Anolis sagrei: one gene and its partners. The protein of the gene in region 1 purifies or fractionates together with the protein of each later gene. This does not show direct contact. Links are inferred from orthologs where the notes say so. Each region holds a gene or a part of one and is shown in the gene's direction. Other genes may lie near its edges. The genes, in order: AMBRA1, DNAJB1, NEK9 and HSPD1.

Region 1 (7,961 bases):
AGCCTCTGTGGTACAGACAGACAGATAGGTATATGTTGAAACACACAAACATATATTTCTGGAAGATAAATACATGCAATTACAAAAATAAACCTGTACTACAGGATTAAAACATCATTTGAGATTGCTGGCTGACTGTTAACAAAAACAAATTAAGGATTAAATTATAATCCAACCCTATGGTGTCTCAGAAATAAAACACTGTTTGTAATCAGGCTTCTTTGAAGTTTCTTTTTTGGAAGGAAAGTGGCCTCAACTTTTTCAAAGTAAGGTGAGTTTTCCAGGGTTTTTAAAAGCCTATAACTCCACAGCAGCATTTGCCAGCATGGTGAAAAATTAGGGCAAATGCAGTTCAAAAAACACTGGTAAGGACATGGTGCCCATCCCTCTTCTGAAGTACCATGAGGTTGTTCTTCTGTATTTTGTTGTTATGTAACTTCTAAAATGACCACATTTTTTCCCAAGTGTCTTGGTCTGTGTGATATATCGGCGAATAATGTGTGCAGATCCTTTGCAGTGGACAGATGGTAATTTTGTCAGCGCTGATTGTGTTTAAGTGCAGACCAAGGTCTTTAGTCACTGCACCCAGTGTTCCGATCACCACTGGGACCTTTACTGGCTTGTGCGAGTCTTTGTTTATTATTATTATTATTATTATTATTATTATTATTATTATTTGAAACACAACAAGATTAGTACATAGTAAACAAGATCACTATGCTGGCTGTTGTACTGGATCACATGTCGGACACATCCCAAGTGTCTAGGTCTGCGATATATCGGCGAATAATGTGTGCAGATCTGAGTAGGATGGCCTTTTGCAGCTGATAGATGGTAATTTTGTCAGCACTGATTATGTTTAAGTGCAGGCCAAGGTCTTTAGGCAATGCACCCAGTGTGCCGATCAATTAGATCAATTCCCAAGTATCTAGGATTACGTGACGGGCACAATTCAAAGTGCTGGCTTTAGCCTATAAAGCCCTAAATGGTTCTGGTCCAGCTTATCTATCCAAACGCATCTCATCCTACGAACCCACCAGGAACTTGAGATCGTCAGAGGAGGCCCTGCTCTTGTTCCCGCCTGCTTCGCAAGCACGTTTGGTGGGGACGAGAGACAGGGCCTTCTCTGTGGTGGCCCCTCAGCTGTGGAACTCCCTGCCTAGGGATATTAGATCAGCCCCCTCCCTCCCGACCTTTCGAAAAAGAGTGAAAACTTGGCTCTTCGAGCAAGCATTTGGAACCTCAGGATAAACAGACAAACTTGAATCGGAAAATGACTCAGGAACGGTTAAGACGATGGAACGGATGAGGATTTGAATATGAGGACATAGTTTTTAAAATGTTTATTATTCATTGTTTTTATGTCTCTAAATGTACTGTAATGTTTCTTTTTTGCTTTTTATCAATGTATGTATTTTATATATGGCATTGAATTATAGCGACTTTGTATGCCGCTCTGAGTCGCCTTCAGGCTGATATGGGCGGGATAGAAATAGTGTAAATAAATGAATAAAATAAATGTACTGGCAAATAATAATAATAATTGCTATTACCAAACACAAATATTATATAGGTCAGGCAAAGGCAAACTTTGGCCCTCCAGAAGTTTTGGATTTCAACTTTCACAATTCCAAACAGCCCACCAAATTATGCGAGTCCAAAACACCTGGAAAGCCAGTTTGCCCATGCCCGGTCTAGATGTTAGGAAGGATTGTATTGGTTCATGCAGATATACATGTATAGATATTTGTTTCACAGTCCCCCCCCCCCCCAATATTTTTATTAGATAGACTAGCCGTCCCCTGTCACGCATTGCTGTGGCCCTCATGGGGGTTCTGTGTGGGAGGTTTGGCCCATTTCTATCATTGGTGGGGTTCAGAATGCTCTGTGATTGTAGGTGAACTATAAATCCCAGCAAGTACAACTCCCAAATATCAAGATTCTATTTTCCCCAAACTCCACCAGTGTTCACATTTAAGCATATTGAGTATTCGTGTAGAATTTGGTCCAGATCCATCATTGTTTGAGCCCACAGTGATCTGTGGGTGTAGGTGAACTACAACTCCAAAACCAAAGGACACTGCCCTCCAAACCATTCCAGTATTTTCTGTTGGTCATGGGAGAACTGTGTGCCAAGTTTGGTTCAATTCAATTATTGGTAGGGTTCAGAATGCTCTTCGATTGTAGGTGAACGATAAATCCCAGCAACTACAACTCCAAAAAGACAAAATCAAATTTTGAGTGAAGGACATACATTGGGTTGTTAGGAGTATTGTGTCCAAATTTGGTGTCAATTGGCCCACTGGTTTTTGAGTTCTCTTAAGTCCACAAACGAACCTTACATTTTTATTTATATAGACTAGCTGTCCCTGCTACGCGTTGCTGTGACCCAGTCTGGTGATCTGGAAAATAAAGTAATGAGAAAGTGTCAGGAAGGCTCTGATTATGTTTTCTTGCCCCGGTGAAGGGATTGGACTGGATGGGCTTAAGTATTTTCTGTTGGTCATGGGGGTTCTGTGTGGGAAGTTTGCCCCAATTCTGTCGTTTGTGGGGATCAGAATGCTCTTTGATTGTAGGTGAACTATAAATCCCACTAAATACAACTCCCAAATGCCAGTGTCTACATCCCCCAAACTCCCCCAAACTGTGTTCATATTTGGGCATATGGAATATTTGTGACAAGTTTAGTCCAGATCCATCACTGTTTGAGTCCACAGTGCTCTCTGGATGTAGGTGAACTACAACTCCCAAACTCAAGGTCAATGCCCACCAAACCCTTCAAGTGTTTTCTGTTGGTCATGGGAGTCCTGTGTGCCACGTTTGGTTCAATTCCATCATTGGTGGAGTTCAGAATACTCTTTGATTGTAGGTGAACAATAAATCCCAGCAACTACAACTCCCAAATGACAAAATCATTTTTTTTAGTAAAGGACATACATTGGGTTGTTAGGTGTCTTGTGTCCAAATTTGGTGTCAATTCGTCCAGTGGTTTTTGAGTTCTGTTACTCCCACAAACGAACATTACATTTTTATTTATATAGACTAGCTGTACCCACTACGCGTTGCTGTGGCCAACCTTCCCTCTTTCCTTGCTTCCTTCACTCCCTCTTTCCTTCCTTCCCGTCTTTCCTTCTCTTCTTCCTTCTCTATTATCTCTTTCCATCCTTTCTCCTTTTTCTTTGTCTTCTGCTGTCTTTTCTTCCTTCTCTCTTTCCTTCCCGCCCTCTTACTCTACATCTTCCCCCCTTCCTTCGCTCCCTTTCTTTCCTTCTTTCCCTTTTTTCTTTCTTTCTCTAACTTTCCTTCCTTTCCCCTTTTTCTTTCCTTCCATCTTTCTCTCCTTCCATCCTTCTCTTTTTGCTTCCATGCTTCCTTCTCCCTTTCCTTCTTTCTTTCTCTCCCTCTTTCTTTTTTTCTCCCCTTCCCTCCCTCTTTCTTCCTTTTTTCTGTATTGTCATTTAGTATTTGGGGCTTTTTAAGTCCCTTCTGCTGTGTTTTTCAGTGTTTTTATGAGTCAAGGACTGTGCTGTCGCATGCTGGGCCTGTACATCAGACTGTAGACAGGACATAAATTCTGTGTGCCCAACAGGACGCCAGGGCTGCCTCAGATTAAAGGCCTTTGGATTTCCTTAAAACAGAGTCTTTAGATTGCTTAAAGTTTCAACAATGTTCTTTATTAAGGAAAACAAACAGATACTTTAAGGCTTTCTTAATGGTCTATCGGCTCTTTCAATCTTGTCCACAGGGAACAGGCACTATCTTCTTAACTGTAACTAATGGGGAAATCCTTAACTTCTAATCTGGGCAGTCTGTCTTTGCCTCTGTTGGCGTGGAGCCCCTGCACCCGGTACCAACTGCGTCTTGCTTCCGCGAGTGACCCTTACCAAGCAGAGCTTGGTAGACTTCCAGGGGGAAAAAAGGAGTTCAGGTTTCAATGATGGCTGGCTGATGTCCTTGAGCAAAGGAGCTGTAAGGCTGTACAACCCTGGTCAGGCTGTAGGCTGTATATCTCCCCGGCCAAGCCATAGAAGAGAAGACGAAGCTTTCTACAGGAGCTCTTGGTTTTATGTCCTGTGCGAAAGGCTTCTCTGTGTGGACTGAACTCAAAAAGGCTCCTATTCCCTCCAAAAACCCAAAGGGGGCGGGGCCAGGGAACCTAACTATAATGATTGCAGCCAAAAGAAGCCACCTATCTGCAGAGTCCCTGAAACTTAGGACTATAACAAACATTAAATGCAAAGTAAGGAAAATTGGAGCTCCTGGGACAGCTGTTCCAGAACAAGGACATACAATGGGTTTTTAGGTGTCTTGTGTCCAAATTTGGTGTCAATTCGTCCAATGGTTTTTGAGTTCTGTCAATCCCACAAACTAACATTACATTTTTATTTATATAGAATTTTTTACATTGAAAGTGGGAGAACATATTCATTTTAGATAGGAAAGTAGGAATGTAAAGAAACTGAGTGCGAGAGGAAAGAGAAGAACCCATAAGGGAATGGACAGAAATGAAAAAAATTAGAATAAAAAATAAAATAAAATTGTTGACTTCTATCTAAATTAGAAGGAAGTTTCATAGTTTTTGATGAATATATACATAAATAAATAAAAATAAAATTGTTGCCTTCCATCTAGACTAGAAGTTTCATAGTTTTTGATGAATATATACATTGAAAATAAAAAACATATTGATCTCCAAAACTAATTATCGAATCCCCCCCCCCCCTTTCCTTAAAAAATAATTTTTCCCCACGTTGGGAACCAGAAGTGAAGATGCCCCTTCAGATGCCAGCCTCCTCCTCCTTCTCCTCCTCCTATGACGAGGACTCTGGGCTCGCTTAGTTACGCCTTGCTCCTGTTTTATGCCTCGGCCGTTCGATTGCCTCGGCGTTCGCTGGCGATCCATTCGCTCGGCGCTCGGCTAGGCGCCCTGGCCTTGGTAGTAAGCGGCGAGAGGGAGCGAGAGAGAGAGAGGCTGCAGTGGGGAGAAGAGGAAGGCGGAGGAGGAAGAAGAAGAGAAAAAGAAGAAGCTTGCCGGCGGATTTGAGGCGTACTCTTCCCGGTCCGGACGAGGCCTTTCGAGTACTTCGGCCTCGGAGACCCCCGCACGACGCCTCCGGCCTTCCCGGCAGCCGGGCGCGCTAGGCCTCACCACCACTCCCTAGTTCAGGTAGGCTTCGGGCCTAGAAAGGCCGGGCCTGGTTCCTCTGAGGGGGCTCTTGAGGCGGAAACGGCGGCTCTTCAGGGTGGAGGGGCCCCCAGGGAGGTCTTGTGGCCTGGCCTTGAGGGCCGTCGGGGCCTTGAAGCCTCGGGGCGGCCTCCTGGAGGGGAGGCCGAGATCCCCGGGTGGGCGGGTCCCCGCCCACCCGGGGATCTCGGCCTCCCCTCCAGGAGGCCGCCCCGAGGCTTCAAGGCCCCGACGGCCCTCTCAGGAAACCCTTCAGTGCCTCAATCCAGGCCCTGAAGCCTGTCTCCCTGAGACACCCCTCAGGACGAGAATCCGAGGCCCACCCACTCGCCTTCCTCTTTCCCCCGTGAAAGAGGAACTTCCTCCTTTGTAAGTTTTTGCTTCATTGATAGTACTTACTAACCTTGTTGTTCTCTTTCAGAGCGCGGAAGCACAACTCTTTTCCTTCCCCCCGCCTTTTCCGACTCCTCCCATGTTCCCCCTTTTTCTTCTTCCTCAAAAAGATCCAGAGAAATTGAGCTTTGTTTTGGACACAGTACCTTAAACTAAGACCCAGGGCCCTTCCACACAGCCCTACATCCCAGAATACCAAGGCAGAAAATCCCCTAATATCTGCTTTATTCATTATTTTATTTATTATTTAAAACTTTTATATCCCGATCTTCTCAACCTCCATAGAGGGACTTAGACTGGCTTACTGCAAGGATTCAGTGGTAATAGTACAATCTAAAAACATCATATAATAACGAGTTAAAATACATGTCGATTAAAATTACAAATAAGCCAAATCACCAGGGTAAAATCATGTCCAACTCAGTCTGTATGTGTGGTCAATAACTTTGTTCTGTAGCCGGTTTCAACCATTACTCTGGGAATGCTTCCTTCCATAGCCAGGATTTCACCAGCCTCCTGAAGGACAGGAGGGAGGGGGCAGATCTGATCTCAATCGGAAGAGAGTTCCATAGCTGAGGGGCCACCACAGAAAAGCCCTGTCTCTTGTTCCCACCAGATGTAATTGTGAAAGTGGCAGGACCGAGAGCAGGGTCGCTATCTTGTCTCTCATTCCTGCCAGACGCGACTGTGAAAGTGGCAGGACTGAGAGCAGGGCCCCACCAGAAGATCTTAATTGTTTGTTGGTTCATAGGGGAGAATACATTCGGACAGGTAAACCAGACTGGAACCGTTTAGGTTTGAACTAGGTTATCTGAATCCACACATAGATAATATGGAATATTCTGCCTTGATGTTCTAGGGCAGGGGTCCTCAGATTTTTTTAAACAGAGGGCCAGGTCACAGTCCCTCAAACTGTTGGAGGGCCAGATTATAATTTGAAAACAAAAACAAAACATGATTGAATTCCTATGCACACTGCACATATCTTATTTGTAGTGCAAAAAACCCACTTAAAACAATACAATAATTAAAATGAAGAACAATTTTAACAAGTATAATCTTATTAGTATTTCAATGGGAAGTGTGGGCCTGCTTTTGGCTGATGAGATAGGATTTTTGTTGGGCTATTGTAGTTTTTTTCGGGCTATATGGCCATGTCCTAGAGGCATTCTCTCCTGACGTTTTGCCTGCATCTATGGCAAGCATCCTCAGAGGTAGTGAGGTCTGTTGGAACTAGCAAAAAGGGTTTATATATCTGTGGAATATTAAATATTAAAATAGAATTAAACATGGGTTGTTGTAGGTTTTTTCGGGCTATATGGCCCTTTGTCCCACCCTGGTCATTCCACAGATATATAAACCCTTTTTACTAGTTCCAACAGACCTCACTACCTCTGAGGATGCTTGACATAGATGCAGGCGAAACGTCAGGAGAGAATGCCTCTAGGACATGGCCATATAGCCTGAAAAAACCTACAACAGTCCAGTGATTCCGGCCATGAAAGCCTTCGACAATAGGATTGTTGTTGTTGCTGTTGTTGTGTGCTTTCAAGTCATTTCAGACTTAGGTTGCCCCTGAGTGAGAGCCAGGTAAATTATCTTAGAGGGCTGTATCAGGCCCTCGGGCCATAGTTTGGGGACCCCTGTTCTAGGATATAGGGCTGTGTGGAAGGGCCTCACAGAATACAAGCAGACCCCAGGTTATGAACAAGATAGGGTCTGGTAGGTTTATTCTTAAGTCGAATTTGTATGTAAGTTGGAACAGGTACATTTCAGCCAAAAAATCTATTTCTTAGCTTTGGCTAGCATAGGGAAGGGTCAGCACCCTTGTGGTGTTTGTTTCGCTGTCTGTGCCCCTGTTCAGAAGATTTTGCCTCACTTTCTGCCCCTGTGATTATTTCTTTATTTTATATTTTATTTATATCCCACTTTATCTCTTTAGACAGAGACTCGAAGAAGCCTTTTGGATATTGAAAAATGTATTTTTAAATTATTAAAAATTAATTGTATTTTGAGAAATGTTACTTGTGGAAACAGGAACTGGTGATACAGCAGTGGTTCCCAAACTTATTTTTGACCAGGAACCACATTGACCAAGGTCCGCTCTCCAACATTAGTATCAAAAGAGTTACAAATCAGTTTTTTGTCGACTTTAGATTTAAATTGCTTATTTGGGGTGCTGATTCAGAAAACTGCATTGGATAGAACACAACAGCTCTAGTTTCTGATACAGAACGCATGCAACCCAGTAGTCAGCATCTGCTCACCCACAGAAAACCATATTTAATAAGCCTCGGCACTATAAGAGGTTTTTACAAGACCAGGCACTCTCGTTGCAACAGTGTGGTAACAGTGAGGCCGCAAACCATATTTTAGTTCTTGT
Region 2 (7,257 bases), on another chromosome or scaffold:
TACATAATCCCAAAAGGGTTTAGCAACAGGTGATAATCCAACAATAATCCAAATGTCTCATAAAGTTCCAGAGGTGATAAAGTCCAGGAACAACCAGGAATCACAGATACAGCATAAGTCCACAATCAAGAAGGTATAAATAGTAAAACTTGAACAGGAACATAGAAAACTTCAGGCTATATCAAATTCAAAATCAACGCTTGACTTGAACCAGGAACAAGAGAACTCAGATTTAGTTTCTCACTCTAATGCACCATTGCCTGGAATGACCTTAAGGTAAACAACTTGTTTAATAGACACCCATGAAATCATTCTGTTTCCCGTGAATTTCCTTCACAACTTTCCCACGTAATCTCTCTGAACGACGCAATCTATTTTCAGCTGTTCTTTGTAAACAAAGACTTTTGTTGATCTCCGTAGCTACAGGTGGATTCCCCTGGAAAGCCTCTTTATCACTCAGCTCTTCACTCGATTCGTTATCTAATGTCGCACCTTTTTATTCCCCTGAATGTCCTTGAGGCCCTGCACAGAATCACAGAGATGGAAGAAACCTCATGGGCCATCCAGTCTAACCCCCTGCCAAGAAGCAGGAATATTGCATTTAAATCACCCCTGACAGATGGCCATCCAGCCTCTGTTTAAAAGTTCTAAATCATCGGTTAACCCACCAGCCTCTGGCAGCTGATGTACAACACAGCTATATATAGTGTAGTTATATAAAATTGTATAATCAAAGTTTGTTGGGAGGATTCTTTTTAAATATTTTTAATTCGTGGGTGATTGAATCCATAGTAAAGAATCTATGGATACGGAGGGCTAGCTGTATAGAAACGTGGGTTAAGGCTTATCAATCTGCTACAGACTGCACACATCTCAAAACTACTTCCCTTTCAAAAGGCAATGGGAGGACTCCATTTATAAATACTGTGCTAGTTAGATATTCGGGCGTTGGAAGAAAGACGGAAACAGGGGAAAACATTGCAATTATTGTTTGATGCTATCTGTTTAGATTTCAGTGAGTCCTCTGTGGTAATGATTTGATCTTTCTCCCTTGACTTCTGGGAAGGATCTCTCTTAGATCTCATCTTATGCCGTCTCAAACTGGTATTGAAGAAAGTGTTTTCACTGTGCAGATGATTACATAGGAAATCATTAAATGATCAGTACAGACGGGACCTCAGATTGTGGACACCTTGAACAATGGTATCAATCAGGAATGAGTGTTTCTTAACACCTAGAAGCTGTAAACAAGCCAGCATTGAAGTGACTTTTGCCACTTTTTATCTGCTGCCTGGGAGAAGAGCCAAGGGCTGGACTGCAAACTGGAAGGCAACCTCCCTCCACCATACCAGCCCCACCCAGGGGTCAAATTAAACACCATAGAGAAGCAGTGCCAAGGAGGTGAACAAAGAGTGGAAATTCCTGCGTAAAGTCCCATTACGGAAGCACTGGGTGCTCTTTGTTGTCCTCCTGGGATTTCACCGTCCTGAATCATTAATTCAATGTCGTCTACAAGTACAGTGACCGAGTTTGCTAACACGGTGAAACCTATGTTGGGTCTGGGCATAATTGGGAAGAGAACCATACTTCCTTTACACCATTTTTGGTGTGGCATTTTGGAATAATGTGCACATTTTTGGTCATGGAACCTCAATATATAATACAGTATGGTACAATCTATATATAAATTAAAATGTTCGTTTGTGGGATTGACATAACTCAAAAGCCACTGGACAAATGGACACCAAATTTGGACACAATACAAGAGTGACCATCACTCATAAAAAACACTGAGAAACACAGCAGAAAAGACTTAAAAAGCCAAAAAAAATTAAAGCGCATGCGCAAAACCACATATACACACACATACACACACATAAAACACATATACACAAACTGAGCCACAGCAATGCGTGGCAGGGGACTTCTAGTCTATATAAATAAAAATGTAATTTTTGTTTGTGGGATTAACATAACTCAAAAACCAGTGGACAAATTGACACCAAATTTGGACACAATACACCTATCAGGCCAACAAGTGACTTTCACTCATAAAAACACAGTGGAAGGGACTTAAAAAGCCAACAAATAAAAAAAACATCCACAAGTATATACACATATACATAAATATATACACACATACATGCACATATACACACACAAAGCACATATACAGAGACTGGGCCACAGCAACGCGGGACAGTTAGTCTATATAAATAGAAATGTAATGTTTATTTGTGGGATTAACATAACTCAAAAAGCACTGGACAAATGGACACCAAATTTGGATACAATACACGTATCAGGCCAACAAGTGACCATCACTCATAAAACACTGAAAAACAGCACCCAGGGGGTGAGAGTTTTTGACTTAAAATGCCAAAAAACAAGAAATGTATTACACCGCATGTGCAAAACCACACACATATATATACACAAACATACATATGTACGCATATAAACAAATATATACACACTCAAAACACATCTACACAGACTGGGCCACAGTCATCAAGTAGATGATCCAAACATGAGCAATCCAAATGGTTACAAAATTTGGTACTTCTTAATTGTGAAGAAAAGGTACGTAAGAAGAAATGTTAGATATATTTCCAAATAAACATGGGGCAGGTAGCAATTAAAAAATGGAGGTGGCACCTGTCAGAGCAACAGGTGGTCTTGGGGATAAGAACCCCCTCCTCTGTTAAAAAACAATGCATAGAATCATTGAAGAACAGAATTGCAAGGCCATTCAATGCTAATCAAGGTGGCCAGTTGCAACATTCACACTTGCCTCAAGCAGACAAAAGTTCTTTCTCCCACCATGGACATTATCCCACAGATATAAAAACCGGTAATAGTATGATAGCTGGGTCTGGAAACTCTGAGTGTTACGGAGATGCCGCATCGCTCCTTTGGGAGCGCTGTTTGCACAAGAGAGACTTAGCTAATGTAAGCCAGGCCTGAGACAGATACTCTAGAAGGAATGTAAGAGTTCTTTAATGGTGAAACTCTAACCCTTACCCTAACCCTGATCCGTATGCGTAAGCCTAAGCCTAACCCCTACCCAAACCTTACCCTAAACTGTACTCTAACCATAACCCCCAACAGTAACCCTAACCCAAAACCTTGCCCTAACCCTAAGCATGCCGTCCTTTCTATCCTTCCTTCGCTCTCCCCGCTCTCTCTCCGCCTCCTCTTCCCTTATTCACAACTGCCTTTGCAGCATCTCCGTAATGCTGAGCTTCCGGGCCCAGCTATCATACTATCACCTAAAAAGCTCACTTGTCTAGTTTCCAACAGACCCCTCAACCTCTGAGGATGCATGCCATAGATGTGGGTGAAACGTCAGGAGATAATGCTTCTGGAACATGGCCTTACAGCCCAGAAAACTCACAGCAACCCAGTGATTCCATGTCATGAAAGTCTTAAACAACACAGAGCTGGAAGAGACCACATGGGCCATCTAGTCCAACCCCTGCCATGCAGGAAGAGCACAACCAAAGCACCCTCAACAGGTGGCCATCCAGCCTCTGTTTAAAAGCCTCCACAGGAGCCTCCACCACACTCAGGACAGAGTTCTACTGCTGAACAATTTTTTCTCATGTTCAGGTAGATGCATCTACACCAGTGGTTCTCAACCTGTGGGTCCCCAGGTGTTTTGGCCTACAACTCCCAGAAATCCCAGCCAGTTTACCAGCTGTTAGGATTTCTGGGAGTTGGGGGCCAAAACATCTAGGGACCCACAGGTTGAGAACCACTGATCTACACTGTAGAATAGATGCGATTTGACACCACTTTAACTGCAATGATTCCGTCAAAGGAATTATAGCTTTACAACGCCTTCTTTCTTCTTTGAGAGCGCTGGTGACTCTCCAAACTACAAGTCCCATGATTCCACAGCACTAAACCATGGTGCCAAACCGCATTCATTCCACAATGCAGATGCACCCAGAGCTGTTTCTAACGGAAGAGGCGGCTCTCATTCCCAAAGGCCACACGTTTCTTTTGGCACGCGCCACTCCTGGCCCGTCCACTGTCTGCGCGCGCATCTCAAGAACCCCGAGCGCGAGGACCGTTGGCGGCCCAACGAAGAATGCCCCCCCTCCCCCCGCCGTTCAGTCCCAAGGTGGGCGCCCTCAGCCGTTAACTTCCAAGCTTTGCCCATCCCGCAGTCGATCCCCATTGGCGGAGAGAACAGAGTGCTCGATGGCGATTGGCTAGGGCAGAAGGGATGGGCGGGGCCGAGGCGGAGATTGTTGTGGCAAGCTCTGGAAGATTCCTCCGCCCGCAGTATAAAACCGGAGGGGACGCGCCCGGCCCGGCATTAGAACCCGAGGCGGTGAGGGCGAGCCATGGGCAAGGACTACTACCGCACCCTGGGCCTGTCCCGCGGGGCCAGCGACGACGACATTAAGAAGGCCTACCGGAAGCAGGCGCTGCGCTACCACCCGGACAAGAACAAGGACCCCGGCTCCGAGGAGCGCTTCAAGGAGATCGCCGAGGCCTACGACGTGCTCAGCGACCCCAAGAAGCGCGAAATCTTCGACAAGTTCGGCGAGGAAGGTGCGCGGGGGCCGCGGGGTGGCCGGGGGGGGGGGGCAGGAGGGACCTGCGCATGCGCCTTGGCGTCACATTATTCGCCACGGCTCGATTCTTCAGAAAGCGTAGTTTGTTGAGGGACCAGCGCTCTTTGGCAGCCAGGGGCCTTGTCAGCAGCTGCCAGGGATCCATATCGTTAAAGTGGGCTCCAGCCGCATTCATTCCACAGTGTAGATGTAGCCTGGAGTGTAGCCTAGAAAACCAGCTTCAGCTTGGTTTGCTGTGAGTTTTCCGGGCTGTATAGCCATGTCCCTGACGTTTCATCCACATCTATGGCTGGCTCAGGTTGTTGATTCCCCTGCCATTCACGAGAAAGTACACAGGGAGTTTGCGTTGTGGCACCAAGAGCAGAGGAGAGAGAGAGGGGAAGGGTCTCTTTTCAGCACATCTCTGGGTATTACTTCCTGTAAGGTTTTAATCAAAACTAATAACTGGCTAAAGGCCCCCCTGGTGCTGCAGCAGATTAAACTGCTGAGCTGCTAACTTGCTCACCGAAAGGTTGGCGGTTTGAATCCAGGGAGAGGGGTGAGCCCCCGCTGTTAACCCCAGCTTCTGCCAACCGAGCTATTTGAAAACATGCAAGATGTGGGTAGATCAATAGGTACCACTTCTGCAGGAAGGTAATGGCACTCCATGCAGTCATGCCGGCCACATAACCTTGGAGGCATCTATGGACAACGCAGGCTATTTGGTTTAGAAATGGAGATGAGCACCACCCCACCCCCCCCCCACCCCCCCAGAGTTGGACATGGCTAGACTTAATGTCAAGGGAAATCTTTATCTTACTAACACTGGCTAAAAGTGAGGAATGATGAGTAGAAAGCAGAATATTCACACACAGGTATTGGAGGCAATCCGTGTCCCCTCTTGCTGAAGTTCCTTTGACAAACGTTGCCAGTTTGAGTTGTTCTGCCCTGATCTCGCTGCCCAGGCAAGACCTTCTCGATTTTGAGATGCCTCCTTCTGTCTACTTGATGATCACCCCCAATTTCCAGAGCTAGTTGGACGCCTTTTCCTCTGGAGCAACTGTTAAGACGATGCTGAAAACTCACAGCAAACCAAGCTTTTTCATGAAGGATGAAGTAGAAAAAGCAGACTGTTAGGAATTGGGCGAGTTGAAGTCTAAAACATCCTGGAGGGCTGAAGTTTGCCCATGCCTGAAGTAGAAAGTGGACGAGAAGGGCTGAAGAACGAGTTATTTCACTTTGTGGTTCTGGAAAGCAGTCCAATGTTGAGTTGCCATCTTTAAATAGTTCCAGTTATAACCTCCAACATCCACTATTATCTAAAGCAGTGGGTTTCAGATTTTCATCCCCCAGGAGTTTTGGACTTCAACTCCCAGAACTCCTAGCCAGTTTACCAGCTGTTAGGTTTAGTGGGAGCTCTAGTTGAAAACATCTGGAAGACCAAAGGTTGAGAACAACTGATCTACAGGCTCTTCCTGATAGGGAAGGCTACTTTGAAATCACCCAGATTTAGCAATAATTATAGCCCTCTTGTGTAGGATTTCTGTAGTGTCCTGCTTTGCATATCAGTCTCTTTGTGTCTTCAGGGATTTGTTTTTGCTTTGTATGTTTACTTTCTTGTTCTGAAGAACATCCACCCCTTCCGTAGAATGTTGAAATGTTTAGTGCGTAAAAGAGAAGCTCTCAACTTATTTATACAGATTGTGGTAAATTTCCATAGCTTTTCTGTATTGTTTCGATTGCACAGCTGGCATTCATGGAACATTCTGAGCATTTTCCTTTAAATGGGTGTTGTAGTAATTTGGCTGCATCTATTGGGCTGCATGACAGGCTGTCTGAGATAGGTGGAGCTTTTGTTACACAAGTCTTCTAGTCGTTGCTAGAATATTCTAGCATGTTCTTGTGCTTATCTGTTGCAGTGCTACCTTTTCCTTAGTAGAACTGTTTTTCTGCAAGATTTATACTTATTAAAGTATACAGATTAGGTGAAATGCATTCTGAATTGAGCTTTGTATCCAGGAGCATGGATTTAGTAGATCTTGTGAATAACTGAGAATTGTAGTTTTTTTATATGATTTGGACACTAGGGTACACAACACACAAATGTACTGAAGTTAGCTGTTGGGTGTGAGATTTGTTCGAAGTATTTCTAATTACCCTTATGCAGTTGTTTGACATGTCTGTAAAATGAGTAAAAATAATACTTAGGCTTTTTTGATATTGAATGATAATGTAACCTGAAAGCTGAGGCTTATTGTGTTTCCTATATTGCAGGACTAAAGGGAGGTGGTCCCAGCTGCAGTGGAGGTGGTCCCAATGGCACTTCATTCACCTACACCTTTCATGGAGATCCTCATGCCATGTTTGCAGAATTCTTTGGTGGGCGGAATCCTTTTGATACGTTCTTTGTTCAGAGGAATGGTGACGAAGATATGGACATTGATGACCCCTTCACGGGTTTTCAAAACTTTGGCAACATTGGCTTTTCCCGTGCTCGTGGGGGCCATGAAAATGTTCGCAGGAAACCAGATCCACCCATCACTCACGAGCTGAGAGTATCCTTGGAGGAAATTTACAGTGGATGCACCAAGAAAATGAAAATTTCTCACAAACGGCTAAATCCAGATGGAAAAACGACACGCAATGAAGATAAGATTCTAACAATTGATGTCAAACGTGGCTGGAAAGA
Region 3 (7,488 bases), about 26 Mb from region 1:
ACCTCTGAACAAACCTCTGAAGATGTTTGCCATAGAAGCAGGCGATATATCAGGAGAGAATGCTATGGAACATGGCCGAAAAATGCAAAATGCAGGGCAACCCAATGATTCTGGCCATGAAAGACTTTGACAATGCATTGGTTTCCTTTGCTTTGAGACAGTTTAGAATGGTCCATTAATACTGCAAGATTATAATTTTAAAAGGGCAATGAAAGGAGCTTAGAATAATGTATCTATTGTTATTTATTGTTAATATAACTATCAATGGCTTGTTTAATAAAGGTGTTGTGTTTTATTTCAATGAGAAACTTCCAAAGTGCCTCATCTAAATGTAATAATCTCCACCTACAGACATCCTATTTATGTGATGCCACATAAATGAATGCTTAAATACACATCATGCAATGTGTGACAGTCTCACATAAAGACAACATTATTTCCAGACTGTACTGTAGTAATAGAAGTATTGGATTAGGTTCAAAAGTATCAAGTTTAAATTGTCATGCAGTCAAGAAGATCACTGGCTTTTGACTAGTCTGTATCTCTCAGCCAGACTTATCACACAAGGGAGAAATAGAAGGGTGGCTTAGAAACAATACAAATAAATGAAAAATAAAATAGGTGAGACAGAAAATTAATAGGATTACGCAAGATAATAATTGTCAGAAATGTTACACTCTCAATACCTGCTTAATGTTTTTTAAAGTCAGCACAAGATTGCTTTCTCATTGTTGCATCACTCCTTGCTTGGGAAATGGTTATGCTGCTGGATTCCTTCCTGTCACGCAGCTGCTGAAAAGAACAGGAGCTGTGCCAGAAGAAAATATTCACAATGCTAGGAAATGGCAATGCTGACTCTGAGCCAAACTTCTATCATACAATGTGCTGGTATTGCTATACAACTTGTTTCTAGATCCATGTAAAGTAGAGGTGTGAAATGGGTGAGCTTCCATCTGTCATCTCCAGCTTCTCATACAGAGATATGAGAGACTCCTCCCACAGAATGGTAAAACATCCGAGTGTCCACTGGGCAATGTCCTTGCAGATAGCCAATCCTCTCACACCAGAAATGACTTGCAGTTTCTCAGATCGCTCCTGACACGAAAAATAATTGTCTTCACTTTCTCTCACACACTGAACTCAACCCTTTTTTCACATACACTAGTCCCCCCAGTCTTCCTGGAATATGACATTATGGATAAATTAATGAATTAGTTTGACTTCACTTTGACTGGCATCTTTCCACGCTATGGAATCCCAGGAGTTGTAATTTTATATTTCTTGACTTCTGTGCCAAGGGTGCGAATGCATCCCCAAGCTACAACTCTCTGAATTCCATAACATTGATCCAGTTAAAGTGGTGCTAATCTGCATTAATTCTTTTGTACAACTTCACCTTATAAAATCTTCCCTGAAGTTTAATGTCTAAAGCTTTGTGCCATGCATTTCTTTCAGGAGTGGAAATTGTGCAGCAATCCAGATTTTGATGGACTACTGTTCCCAACAACCTTAACCAGCAAAGTCAGTGCTGAGGAATACTGAGAATTGCAGTTCAGCAAGATGTGGAGAACCACCAATTTCACACCTCTACTTTGTGCATTTACTGTGTTATAACTGAGTATTATAAAAAGATAGAGATCCACCCAGGTTTCTGTGTACACTGATTATTGTCCTGGAGGAAATATACAACTAAAGGTTGGTGTAGCTGGTGCAGCCAGGTGTAGTGATTTGAAAGTGAAACAATGACTCTCCTCCTCAGTTATGGAATTCCACTGGATTACCTTGGACAAGTCACACTCTCTCAGCATTAGAGGAAGGCAAAGGTATTCCCCCAAATAAATCTTGCCAAGAAAACCCCATAATCAGTTCATTTTTGACTCACCATAAATCAGAAATGATGTGAAAACACCTAACAACGGTGTATACTGTTTTTGTCTATGGGGATGGAATATTTCTAATCTTTAAAAGAAGCACGCTTGCATTGCAAATGTCTTATTTGCAATGCTCCAATCTCTCTGCAGCAGCTGCTGATTGAAGCAGTGAGGTTTCCCCTTCCCCAACCCAGATTTCTTTAGTAGTTTCTTCTAATAAAGTTTCTGGGAAGCCTGAGCACATTTGTGTGCTCTTTCGATTGGTCCAATAGAAATATTACATAAATACAGATTTTTAAACTAGTTTCAATAAGTTCTCGTTTGTATCGGCAGATACATACATTTTAAGATGATAAAACAAAAACTGGAGAGCATAATAAGCTTTAAGTGGAGCAGCAAAAACGGAAGAACATCACACAAAATCCAAAAGATAAAGGGAAGACGGAAGATGCTCTGAATTCTTTATTTATAATTTTAATTCACATGTTTTCATTTGATTACCAAATGGTATTGGGAGTCCCTTTATCAGAAATTTCAAGGGATTTTACTAGGTATGTACAAGGTATTAGTAATGTGTTAATGCAATAACATGTAAATATAATAACACTGACCTGTTGTATTGCTGGTTCGGCTGCTGGACAAGACTTGGGGAGATCAGGGTTTAGATCTTTACCCAGCCTTTCATAAGTCATAATCAGCTTTTGAGGAAAATGACAAAACTCCTGAATAAATCTTGACAAGAACATCATATCACAGGGTCGCTGTAACTTTGGGTTGACTTAAAGGTACACAACAAAAACAATTTATAATATTATTTAATTAAGCATTGTCCTATTCCTCCCACATCACTTGAAAACGGCCTTGGAATATTAATGTGTCAAAGCATGTTGGGTTTTTTTTAGTGAATATTTATTCCAGCATCTGGAAGTATGTCTCCCCTTTCTCTTGTGTATTATCATAACAGCAGCTATTGATTGTCTTATAATGCTGTGTTTCCTTAACATATCTTGTCACCATTCTCTATCCCATCTTGTAGGTGCATACTCAAGAAGTTGATGTAGAAGGAATAAAGAAATGGGGGTGTCATAGGGAGAGCAATGAAGGGATGGAGAACTACCTCTCCTCCAAACCTGGAGATTGAGGATCCCTTATTTTATTTTTTAAAGAGAAAACTTTTCTTGCTTTTGAAGAAAAAACTTCTCATGAAACTAGATAGAATGTTTCAAAGTGCTGCTATCTAGTGAGCCAAGTAATTTCCCTTCGGCAGGGAGAGAATTGCTGGGGAATAGAAGCTACAGAAAGAGAAAAAAACTGCCCTCCCTAAGGCAAGTAAGCCATGCGGGGATACTAAAACAAATTGCAGGAAGATCACTACCCCTCATCTTCCATTTCCTTTTTTCAAAAGTAGGATAATAGTGGCCTGCTGAGACCTCTTCCACACAGCTGAATAAAATCCACACTATCTGCTTTGAACTGGGATATATGACAGCATGGACTCAGAAAACCCAGTTCAAAGGGATTTTCTGCCTTGATATTCTGGGCGATATGGCTGTGTGGAAGGGCAACAACAACATGAGGCTGTTAGGAATGGTGGGAGCTGAAGTCCAAAACACCTGGAGGGAGGGCCCAAGTTTGCCCAGGTCTGGTATATAAATGTAGTTTCTTGAGGGCCAGTATGGAAAAGACCTGAGGCTGTCAGGAATGGTGGGAGCTGAAGTTCAAACCCCTGGAGGGAGGGCCCAAGTTTGCCCAGGCCTAGTATATAAATGTAGTTTCTTGCGAGCCAGTATGGAAAGGGCCTGGGAGTGTTAGGAATAGTGGGAGTCCAAACCCCCGGAGGGAGGGCCCAAATTTGCCCAGGCCTGGTATATAAATGTAGTTTCTTGAGGGCCAGTATGGAAAGGGCCTGAGGCTGTGAGGAATGGTGGGAGCTGAAGTCCAAAACCCCTGGAGGGAGGGCCCAAATTTGCCCAGGCCTGGTATATAAATGTAGTTTCTTGAAGGCCAATATGGAAAGGGCCTGGGAGTGTTAGGAATGGTGGGAGCCGAAGTCCAAACCCCTGGAGGGAGGGCCCAAGTTTGCCCTGGCCTGGGTAGCTTCTTGAGAGTCAGTATGGAAAGGGCCTGAGGTTGTTAGGAATGGTGGGAACTGGAGGGAGGGCCCAAGTTTGCCCAGGCCTGGTACATAAATGTAATGTTTTGAAGGCCAGCATGGAAGGGGCCTGGGGCTGTTAGGAATGGTAAGAACTGAAGTCCAAACCCCCTGGAGAGAGGGCCCAAATTTGCCCAGGCCTGGCCCAAAGTCTTACAAGAAACGGCTCCGTTCCTCCACTTCCTCCGCCGAAGGAAAGGCACCCGATGCTGGAGTGCTTCCGGGTCAGCGGGAGGCACGCGCGGGGAGGGGGGGGGGTCGCGGAGAGGAGGAGGAGGGGGAGGAGAGGCCGCGAGAGGGGAAGGAAGGAAGGAAGGGGGCTCGTGCGTATATGCGCATGCGCAGGGGGCCAGGCCCGTTCTGCCTCGTCGAAGGAGTCTGAGGGAAGGAGCCGCCGCGGGAGCAGGAAGCAGCCCTGGCTTCTTCCCCCGCCGCCGCCGCCGCCGCTGCTGCAGCCATGTCCCTGGGCCAGTACGAGCGGCACTGCGACTCCATCAACTCCCTCGACTTCGATAACGACTCCTCCGGCCGCAGCAGCAGCAGCATTAACAGTATTAACAGCGCCCCCCGGCCTGCCCCGGCCTTGGCTGGCGAGCAAGAGGAGCTGCACTACGCCCCCATCCGCACCCTGGGCCGCGGCGCCTTCGGGGAGGCCACGCTCTACCGCCGGACGGAGGTAAACACTGCCAAGGAATGCCATGGCTCGTGGGAGATGTAGTTTTTCAAGGCCTTGCCTGCCAAAGAGCGCTGGGGCCTCACCAGACTACAACTCCCAGGATTCCATGGTAGTCAAAGGGTTCCTTAATGGTACAGCAGGTATGGGCAAGCTTGGGCCCTCCAGGTGTTTTGGACTCCAACTCCCACCATTCCTAACAGCCTCAGGCCCCTTCCTTTCCCCCCTCAGCCGCTTAAGCGGCTGAGGGGGGGAAAGGAAAGGGCCTGAGGCTGTTAGGAATGGTGGGAGTTGGAGTCCAAAACACTTGGAGGGCCCAAGCTTGCCCCTACCTGTGCCACAGCATAGGTGTGCCCCAGGTTTGTTGTCATGTAAAAGTAGCGCAAGGGAAATTGACACACAAAGTGTGATGTCATGTCACATCAAAGAAAGTGGACAGAATGGAACTCATATTGAAATAACATAAACACAAATGGGAATCATGATGTGAGCAGAATTCAAAACAATCTTACCAACCAAGATCACTGCACGCTGCACTTACTTTATAATCCTACATTCCTTCCGGCACTTCAGCACTTTTAACCCTGTACCCCTATCCTGGCCGGCCCAGTTTTAATAGTGTCTTGTTGTATTGTTATTGTTATTGTTTTCTGCTTTACTGTTTTAATTTGCTTTAGGTATTGTATTGTTGTATTGTGTTTTGTGGCTTCGGCCTGTGTAAGCCGCATCAAATCCTTCGGGAGATGCTAGCGGGGTACAAATAAAGTTATAATAATAATAATAATAATAATAGTAATAGAGAGATGATTGGCCAAAACTAACAAACTGAAGTTCAACAGGGACAAATGCAAGATACTCCATTTAGGCAGAAAAAAATGAAATGCAAAGATACAGAATTATTATTATTATTATTATTAACTTTATTTGTACCCCGCTAGCATCTCCCGAAGGACTCGATGCGGCTTACAAAGGCCAAGGCCTCAAAACACAACAATACAACAACTAAAGCAAATTAAAAACAATTAAAGCAATATTAAACAACAAGCAATAGACAATACATCAAGACACTATAAAACTGGGCCGGGCCAGAGTAACGGGTACAGGATTAAAAGTGCTGATGTGACAGGTGATATGTAAGGATTATAGGGTAAGTGCAGTGTAACCTTTTAATGCATGTTCTTTGTTTGATCTCTGTTTTGTCTGTTTTGATGTGTATTTTTTAGAGGTGCCTTTTGGTGTGTGGTGTTTATGGAGGTACATTTTATTGTATGTATTTGTAGTGTTTTTGCTGTGTTTATATATTTCGTTTTGTAACCCACCTTGAGCCAGGAGGAGAGGCGGGTAAGAAATAAAATTATTATTATTATTATTTACCTTAATTCCTCATCAAAAAAGAAACCATCCCCTTTTCTGAGTAGAGTGGCAAAAGGAAAGCACTTAGGCCCCTTCTACACTGCTGTGTAATCCAGAATCTCAAAGCAGATAATCCATATTATCTGATTTGAACTGGATTATATGAGTTTACACTGCCATATAATCCAGTTCAAAGCAGATCATATGTATTTTATATGGCAGTGTAGAAGGAGCCTGAGTCTACCCCTGTAGAACCTAAAAGAAGCAATGATCTCCTCTACTCTCTCTGCTATGGCACCACTTCTGGCCTTTTTGAGGCCCTGGCTGTGGAAATAATAACAACAATTATATATTAATATTAATAATAATAATAATAATAATAATTTTTCTTTATTACTCACCTCTCCTGATGAGAATGGTGGCGGAGGCCAAGGGCAGCTCGCCCTGGGGTAGCATTGATGCTTTCCCCTCTCTGCAGAGATACTGAATAGATAGTTCAGTTTTAATTTGTGTGACAAGATTTGTTGCTCACAGATTTGTGACCAGAGTTGTGTCTTATGGTTTAGAATAAGTCTTTACAGAATCTGTAGAATCATAGAGTTGGGAGATGCTACAAGGATCAACCAGTCCAACCTCCTTCTGTCACACAGGATCATAGAATCAAAGCACTCCCAACAGATGACCATCCAGCTTCTGCTTAAAAACCTCCAGAGGAGGAGACTCCACCACACTCCCAAGGAGGTAGCATGTATCACTGCCAAACAGCTCTTACTGACAGGAAGTTCTCCTTAATGTTTTGGTGGAATCTTCTCTTCTGTAATTTGAATCCATTGCCCCGTTGTGCCCTTATCTTTGGAGCACTAGAAAACAAGCTTGCTTTCTCCTCAAGCTGGAATCCTTTTGAAAATGTAAACCTGGCTGTCATGTGTAGAATGGCCCTCATCTTATCAATGGGTTGTATCAAAACCCATATTTTTTTCACCCAAGACCTACCGTGAACACATACACGAGGTCAGCTTATATGAGTATATACGATAAATTGTCATCCAACTGTGTTTCCATATACAGAATCCTTTCTAATCTGTCTGCCTTTTGTCCTGGCTGCCAAGTTTACCCTTTTGTCAGATAGGGCAACATTTATCCCATATTTTGAAATAAGGAACTGGAAAAGGACAGATATTTCAGCTAGCTTTCTACTTGCTGTGGATGGTCCAGATAACATTTTTCCAACTCCCTGTCTCCCGACAATTATTTTCTGTCTTCTAAATGCCTACGTTTCTGGACTATTATGGAGTACAAAAAATAGTTGGCAGTTGTCATCCAATCAACATGTGGTTTCGTGCAGATGTGAAATCTTTATTTTCAAAATATTTGAGAATGGTTTTTCTTGAGAAATGAACTCAAGAGCTCCTCACTTGTCAGTTTATTTTTACATTTTC
Region 4 (7,432 bases), about 100 Mb from region 1:
GCTGTGGCTAACAGTTAAGTTCAGTCCATAAAAATAACAAGAATTAATCATACAAAAGGGAATTGCTAACCAATCTCTACAGTTATCTTGTAAAACAATGTTAAAGCTAAAAATAAATCCTACACAAACATATCTCCCTAATATCTAGCTACCAGTCCATAGGGCAGATATGGAACTTTGTGGTGTTGGCCCCTTCCACACAGCTTGATAAAATCCACATTGGACTGGATTATAGGGCAGTGTGGACTCAGATAACCATATTTTATTTAAAAGTTTCAAAACTCGTTCCCCTACTAAGAATTCTCACTCTTAAGTAAATAAGCAGTTTAAACGGCAATTACTATTGACAAAGTCAGCTAAACTTCTCTGGAATCAAGACTGTATCCAAAAAATGCAGACAAGTAAACTCCTTATGAGCCAGCGTGAGGTAGTGATTTGAATGTTGGGACTTCAGCTTTGGGGACCAAGATTATTTTCCTTCTAGTAATGGAAACCCACTGGGTGACCTTGAGCCCCAGAAACCCCTGTCATAAACTTACCTTGGGCCACCTTTAAGTTGGAAAGGGCTTGAGGGCACACAACAAACTCCTTACACTTGGAAAACTGAAAATGCTCTTTTTTAAAACACTACCGTAGTTGCCACCAATCTCTCATCAAGCACCAAATCCATTTAGATATGTGCACTACATGCTTCTTTACCACCACTGGGGCAAAAAGTAGATCCTGCACACTGAACGGCTGCAGAACATTAATCCACGTGTTCTGACCATCATGTGATCTTAGGCATTTTCAAACCTTAGTTAAGTTTGTCTCTAACCATGAACCCCTGCCTTCCATAACAATGTGTTTCCTCATGTGTAGGTTCCCACTTGAGAAAACAGATTGCAAAATTAAAGGATTTTGTCAAGTGTATTGAGTAAAAGAAACAATCAGAGGGCATGCAATTACAAGGCTGCTCAGAAATACTTCAAACACTGTAATGGAAATATTGGTGACCACGTATTTATTTATTTATCATTTATTTTGTTTATGGAGACTCAAAGTGGCACACAGCAAAAAACATTTCAACACAACTTAAAATATACAAATATTAAAATGGTTTTTAACATCATTCATATTAAAACAATCGAGGTTAAAAACATAAAAGCATATAAAATCACACCCCAAGGCCAAGATTTCTTAAACTGTGGATCCTAACCCCAAATGGGGTCCCATTAGCTCAATGCTGGGTGTCACAAAAAAGTAAAAAGCCAAAACATGGGCAAAAGTAAAAGTCTTCTGAGGGGCCTTCCACACAGCCATATAAACCAGAATATCAAGTCAGAAAATCCCACAATATCTGCTTTGAATGGGATTGTCTGAATCCACACTGCCATATATCCCAGGTCAAAGCAGATAATGTAGGATTATCTGCTTTGGGTCTGAATGCAAATCTATTAGTAACCAGGTGTAGTGCTTTCAGCCAATTGCAAAAAAGGCTTCATAAAAAGGAAATTCAGCCTGTTTAGCAAGCCCTGCAAGTGCAAATTTGTTAGCAGTAAATGTTGTATTTGTATACCTATTTTATATACCTATGTACCTGAGGTAATTTTTCAGCTGCTGTGGCTGAATGACCATCTGTCAGGGATGCCTAGACTTCTGTCTACACTGCAATATAAAATGAAGATTATCTGCTTTGAACTGGATTATATGGCACTGTAGACTCTGGGTCCTTCCACACAGGTGAATACAATCCCACGTTATCTCCTTTGAACTGGGATATATGGCAGTGTGGACTCAGATAACCCAGTTCAATGCAGGTATTGTGGGATTTTCTGCCCTGATATTCTGGTTTATATGGCTGTGTGGAAGGCCCTCATGTTATCCAGTTCAAAGCATATAATATGAGTTAGCTTCTTTGCTCATCTGGATTATATGGCAGTGCAGAAGGGGCCTTTGATTGTGTGTTCCTGTCTGGCAGAATGAGGTTGGAGTGGATGAGCTTTGGGGTCTCTTCCAAACTCTAGGGGCCCTTCCACATAGCCCTATATCCCAGAATAACATGGCAGAAAATCCCACAATATTGGTTTTGAACTGGGTTATCTGAGTCCACAGTCAAATAATGTGGGATTTCCTGCCTTGATATTCTAGGATAGAGGACTATGTGGAAGGACCCTAGGATTGAATAAAATATCTGGAAGGGTCAGTTGGTGTGAGTTTTCCGGGCTGCATGGCCATGTTCCAGAAGCAGTTGCTCCTGACCTTTCACCCACACTTAAATGCAAGGCCATTCAATGCTAATCAAGGTGGCCAATTGCAACATTCACACGTACCTCAAGCAGACAAGAGTTATTTCTCCCACCCTGGACATTATTCCACAGATATATAAACCCCACTTGCCTAGTTTCCAACAGACCCTTCATCCTCTGCCATAGATGTGGGCGAAATGACAGGAGGGCATGCTTCTGGAAAATGGCCATGCAGCCTGTAAAACTCACAGCAACCCAGCAATTCCGACCATTAAAGCCTTCGACAACACATCTGCAAAAGTATGCCCTCACCATCAGACATATCCTGACAGGAAAGATCCTTGTTGGGTTAGCTTGGAGTTTTTACATCTCCATGCTGCGTCCTTGAACCTTCTTCTATTCGCAGGAAAACCACGGAAATAGCACAATTTCTTTTGGAGGCTGTAGTGGCTGTGATAAGAGAACCCCCTCCTTTAGTATCCCCACGTGTAACTCATAAAGGGGGTAGGAGACGCCACAAAGGCCATCTAGTCCAACCCCAGAGGGCCCTTTTGGGTGGTCTCTCATTTATGTGAATCCATGGGCCCTTCCACATAGCCCTCTATCCCAGAATATGAAGGCAGAAAATCCCACATTATCTGAATGTGAACTCAGATAACCCAGTTCAAAGCAGATACTGTGGGATTTTCTGCCTTGATATTCTGGGATAGAGGGCCGCGTGGAAGGGCCCATGGATTCACATAAATGAGAGACCACCCAAAACTATAATTGCCCTGCTTAGATCCTGAAAACTCAGCACTATAGCTTCTTTGATTGAATCGTCTTGTGGTTGTGTGCCTTTAAGTAGTTTTTGATTTATGGCAAACCCAAGACAATCCTATCATGCGGTTTTCTCCATGCGGTGTCCTTGAACCTTCTTCTATCCGCAGGGGGAAAAGGAAAAAAACACAATTTCTGAAAACGGGGGCTCTTTTGAAGGCCATAGGTCCTTTCCTTCCCTTCCTTCCATGATATGTCTGGGTGATGATTATTATGCTATGTCTCCATGCTGTGCAGTCCTGGAAGTTATGGTTTCCCAAAGACCATATCCTTCTTTTGGTGCACTTACACTATGGAATGAATGCTCTTGGACCCCACTTTAAATATCATAGCTCCTTACTATGTGGTCCTGGGAATTATAGTTTCCCAAGGTCCATACCTTTCTTTGCCTTCAAGTAGTTTCTGATTTATGGCAAACCCACGACAATCCTATCATGCGGTTTTCTCCATGTTGTGTCCTTGAACCTTCTTCCATTCGCAGGAAAAAAGGAAAAAACACAATTTCTGAAAACGGGGGCTCTTTTGAAGGCCATAGTGGCTGTGATAAAGAGAACCTACTCCTCCAGTATCCCCACGTGTAACTCATAGAGGGGGTAGTAGGAGATCCACAAAGGCCATCCAGTCCAACCCCAGAGGGCCCTTCCACACAGTCCTACATCCCAGAATATCAAGGCAGAAAATCCCACATTATCTGAACCCAGTTCAAAGCAGATATTGTGGGATTTTCTGCATTGATATCCTGGGCTGTGTGGAAGGGCCCATAGAGAAGGACCACATATTTTTCCCCCTTCCTCCCTTTGCCTTACCATGGCGCGCGCCCTTCTGCTCTTTCCTCCTCGCGACGGCTCGCGCGCTCCGTCCAATCCGCAGAGAAGGAACGCACGTGAAAAAAAGGAAAGCGTGGCACACTGCGCATGCGCTCGCCACACCCCGTCCGGGATGGGGAACTATTGCTTCCTGTGGCTATGAAAGAGGGAACCGGGGGGGGGGGCGAGAAAGAAAACACCCTTTGGATGTATAATTAGTCAATTTCACACAGATCCTTGGCCGGGTTGCTTTGCTCACTCGCAATCCTCCTAGTTTTAATACTTTTCTCTCAGGGGGCAAAGGGGAAAGGCAGGGATGGCCTCCGGAAGTTGCGAAATGCTTCCCGCGACCTTTGGCGGAGCATGGGCCTACCAGAAAATTCTCGAACCCGGCGGCCCCGGAATCTGAATAAACCACACAGCGCGCGAGGCAAGCCTCGGCTGGCCCCGCCCACAGACTCACTCGCAGGAAAGTTGCGCCTGGGTGACGTCACGGCGGGAGGGTGTGCGGTTAGGCTGGTTCCGGGGCCTCTCCCATGCGGCCGGAGGGAGAGGGGAGAAGGGGGCGGGGCCGGAGGGTGCAGTCGCGAGACGTGAGAGTCGCGCGCTGGGGTTGCGAGCTGCGTGCGCGCGTGGCTCAGCAGCAGCTTCTCTGCCTTCCCTTGATCGTCCCGCTGCTCTTGCAAGTAAGTCCTCACATAGTAGGGGGTGCAAAATAAGGGGAAAGTCTCGGAGTTCTTTTCAGCCGTCACCCCTTCTGAGGAAAGTGGTACGGTCCGGCTGAGAGCGAGGGAAAGCGTGGGACTAGGGAATTGGTACCTTTGCGGGGGGGGGGGGGAATCTCTGAGTTTCCTTTTAGGTGTATTATGAAAATGAGTGTTGGTTTTATTTGCTTAGGAGTTTTAGAGTATAGCCAACGGAATAAAGGGTTGGACTGCGGGCTATATAAACCAGAATATCAAGGCAGAAAATCCCACGATATCTGGTTTGAACTGGGTTATTTCAATCCACACTTTGAACTGGGTTATCTCAATCCACACATTGAACCATATTCCAGTTCAAAGCAGATAATGTGGGATTTTATTCAGCTGTGTGGAAGGGGCCTGCGACTACTCCCATCCCCAGGATGATGTAATAATATCATAATGGCCTCTCAATACCATTTTAAGTGTTCTCACTACATGGTTATAGAATTTATAGATTATAGGGTTTATAATTGGAAAGAAAAGGCTAAATATCTCACAAAATGAAACATCCCACAGGAATGAGACATCCCACAGGGGGCAGTTTAAAGAAGTTATGATTCTGCAGCGTGGCTTCTAAGGCCCTTTCCACACTGTGGATTGTATACAGCTGTGTGGAAAGGACCCAACACTGCCATATTAAATCCAGATGATCTGCTCTGCACTGCATTATATGGCAGTGCAGACTCCTTTAATCCAAAGCAGATAAATGTGGACTATTTTCTTTTATAATCTGCATTATGTAGCAGTGTAGAAGGGAACTAAAAGTATTGAAGAGGCACGTGTTTCATTTGCCAGAGTGTGAGACAGGAGGCGGAATCTCTCACAAAACTACACATCCCAGAATTGACTTGGTTTAGAATTGGGCTGGTCCCCCCCCAAGCCCCACCTGTTATTTTCTCCAGCAGTAAGATGCAGTGATTGCTTATTTAATTAATGCAGTTTTCTAACGTTGGCAGTCTTTAGGAAGAGCTTGAAGATGTGGTTGTTCCAGTGTGCCTTCCCAGAATAGGAAACTCCAAGCATCATGTCTCAAATGCACATTACTAGAGATTTAAGATTAATTGCATACTGCATCTATCTCCAAAAACCATTTCACTTGATTATGTCCAGCATTTTTAAATATTTTAATAATTACATTTGGCCCGGCCTTAGATTTTAACTGTGTCGTGGTGTTATTGTTGTAGTTGTTATGCTATTGTTTTACTGTTGCATTTGGCCTCGGCCTCTTGTAAGCCGCACCGAGTCCTTCGGGAGATGTTAGCGGGGTATAAATAAAGGTTTATTATTATTGTTGTTGTTATTATTAAACAGAGGCTGGGCGACTAGGAACAATGGCTTTAAATGACAGGAAAGGAGATTCCATCTGAACATTAGGAAGAACTTCCTGACTGTAAGAGCTGTTCAGCAGTGGAACTCTCAGCCTCGAAGTGTGGTGCAAGCTCCTTCCTTGGGGGCTTTTAAACAGAGGTCAGGTGGCCATCTGTTAGTGATTACATGCATGTGGTCTCTTCCTCCTCAATGTTTCTGAGACAGGTTGATTACACATAGGAAGCCCTGGAGGTCATGAAGGACTTTCTCTTTGCACGCCTTTTGCGGGGGTTTCTTGTCTTGGGAGGTTATCATTAAATGATCAGGGTAGAAGGGGGCCTCCGATGAGCCTTTATGAGCCTTGATCTGTGTGTTACTTTTCAAATTTGGGTGCCTCTGGCTATGTAAGAGGAGGAGTCTGCAAAGGTGCTTGCAGCGCCGCTCTCCGGCCTCCAGGGGGCGCACAAGGCCTTTCTCTTCCTCTTTCCATTTGACCTTGTGCGGCGCGACCGGATGGCGAGGAAAGCGCACGTGGGGCCCCAAGATATGCTTGGCTTGCTCCTTGGACTTTCCCCTCTTCTGCCCACCCACACCGCCCCCTTTGCATCAAGTTGTACTCCCTTTCTTCTTCATTGCTTCATTTTATCTTCTACCCAAGTTAACCCATCTACCAGAGTCCATGCTCTTGCTTTCCTCTGACTTTGATACAGACTCAACCAGTTTTGAGATGAAAGGCGGGGTGGGGTGAAAGAAGTTGATGGTATTCAGTACTTCCATAAAGTTGTGTACCTTTTTGGAGTTGTTACCAATTCATACTCAGACAAACTCTCTATTCTGTTTAGAAACATTCTCTAATTGTTTTCATTCTTTGACTATCTCCATCCTTGCAGTGCATACCAAAAATCGTATAAAAGGCATGGGCAAACTTCAGCCCTCCAGGCGCCTTGGACTTCATATCCCACAATTCCAAACAGCTGGTAGGAGATTAAGTCCAAAACACCTGCAAGGCCAAAGTTTGCCCGTGTGTGAACCATAAGCTCCATATTTGGTGGATTCAGCAAGATTTGTTCAGCAATGAATGGCCTTGGTCTTCCTCTGAGGCTGAGAGAGTGTGACCAAGCCACCAAGTGGATTTTTGTGAGCCAAGATTTCAACCCCTGTCCCTCAAAATCTTGGTTCAATACATAACCACTACACCAGTGGTTCTCAACCTGGGGTCCCCAGATGTTTTTGGCCTACAACTCCCAGAAATCCCAGCCAGTTTACCAGCTGTCGGGATTTCTGGGAGTTGAAGGCCAAAAACATCTGGGGACCCCAAGTTGAGAACGACTGCACTACACCATCCTGGGTCACCTAAGATTAGTTTCAGTAAATTGTGCTTCTCTTTCCCCACCCCCCACTTCGGTCCAAAGGCAAAGAGATCATAGGAGGAAATGTGCAAAAGGGTTTTTTTGGAGGGGGGGGTGAAAAAGCTCAATGCATAGCTCTCTCAGACACCAACTGTAATAGACACTGTTGGAATGAG

The links.
Region 2: the proteins of AMBRA1 (region 1) and DNAJB1 purify together in Homo sapiens (affinity purification with mass spectrometry, with the first as the bait; 3 studies listed by BioGRID). This does not show direct contact. The link is inferred for Anolis sagrei from reciprocal best matches to the Homo sapiens genes AMBRA1 and DNAJB1.
Region 3: the proteins of AMBRA1 (region 1) and NEK9 purify together in Homo sapiens (affinity purification with mass spectrometry; 3 studies listed by BioGRID and IntAct, with this or other methods). This does not show direct contact. The link is inferred for Anolis sagrei from reciprocal best matches to the Homo sapiens genes AMBRA1 and NEK9.
Region 4: the proteins of AMBRA1 (region 1) and HSPD1 purify together in Homo sapiens (affinity purification with mass spectrometry, with the first as the bait; 3 studies listed by BioGRID). This does not show direct contact. The link is inferred for Anolis sagrei from reciprocal best matches to the Homo sapiens genes AMBRA1 and HSPD1.

What each region holds. Positions count from the first base shown.
Region 1 is NC_090021.1:279,053,390-279,061,350, reverse strand, and holds the start of AMBRA1 (activating molecule in BECN1-regulated autophagy protein 1), read left to right. Parts: upstream 1-4,900; 5' UTR 4,901-5,167; intron 5,168-7,961. UniProt on the Homo sapiens protein: Substrate-recognition component of a DCX (DDB1-CUL4-X-box) E3 ubiquitin-protein ligase complex involved in cell cycle control and autophagy.
Region 2 is NC_090022.1:128,013,304-128,020,560, forward strand, and holds the start of DNAJB1 (dnaJ homolog subfamily B member 1), read left to right. Parts: upstream 1-4,245; 5' UTR 4,246-4,355; coding exon 4,356-4,566; intron 4,567-6,842; coding exon 6,843-7,257. UniProt on the Homo sapiens protein: Interacts with HSP70 and can stimulate its ATPase activity. Stimulates the association between HSC70 and HIP. Negatively regulates heat shock-induced HSF1 transcriptional activity during the attenuation and recovery phase period of the heat shock response.
Region 3 is NC_090021.1:305,016,751-305,024,238, reverse strand, and holds the start of NEK9 (serine/threonine-protein kinase Nek9), read left to right. Parts: upstream 1-4,352; 5' UTR 4,353-4,480; coding exon 4,481-4,699; intron 4,700-7,488.
Region 4 is NC_090021.1:178,708,864-178,716,295, forward strand, and holds the start of HSPD1 (60 kDa heat shock protein, mitochondrial), read left to right. Parts: upstream 1-4,423; 5' UTR 4,424-4,539; intron 4,540-7,432. UniProt on the Homo sapiens protein: Chaperonin implicated in mitochondrial protein import and macromolecular assembly. Together with Hsp10, facilitates the correct folding of imported proteins.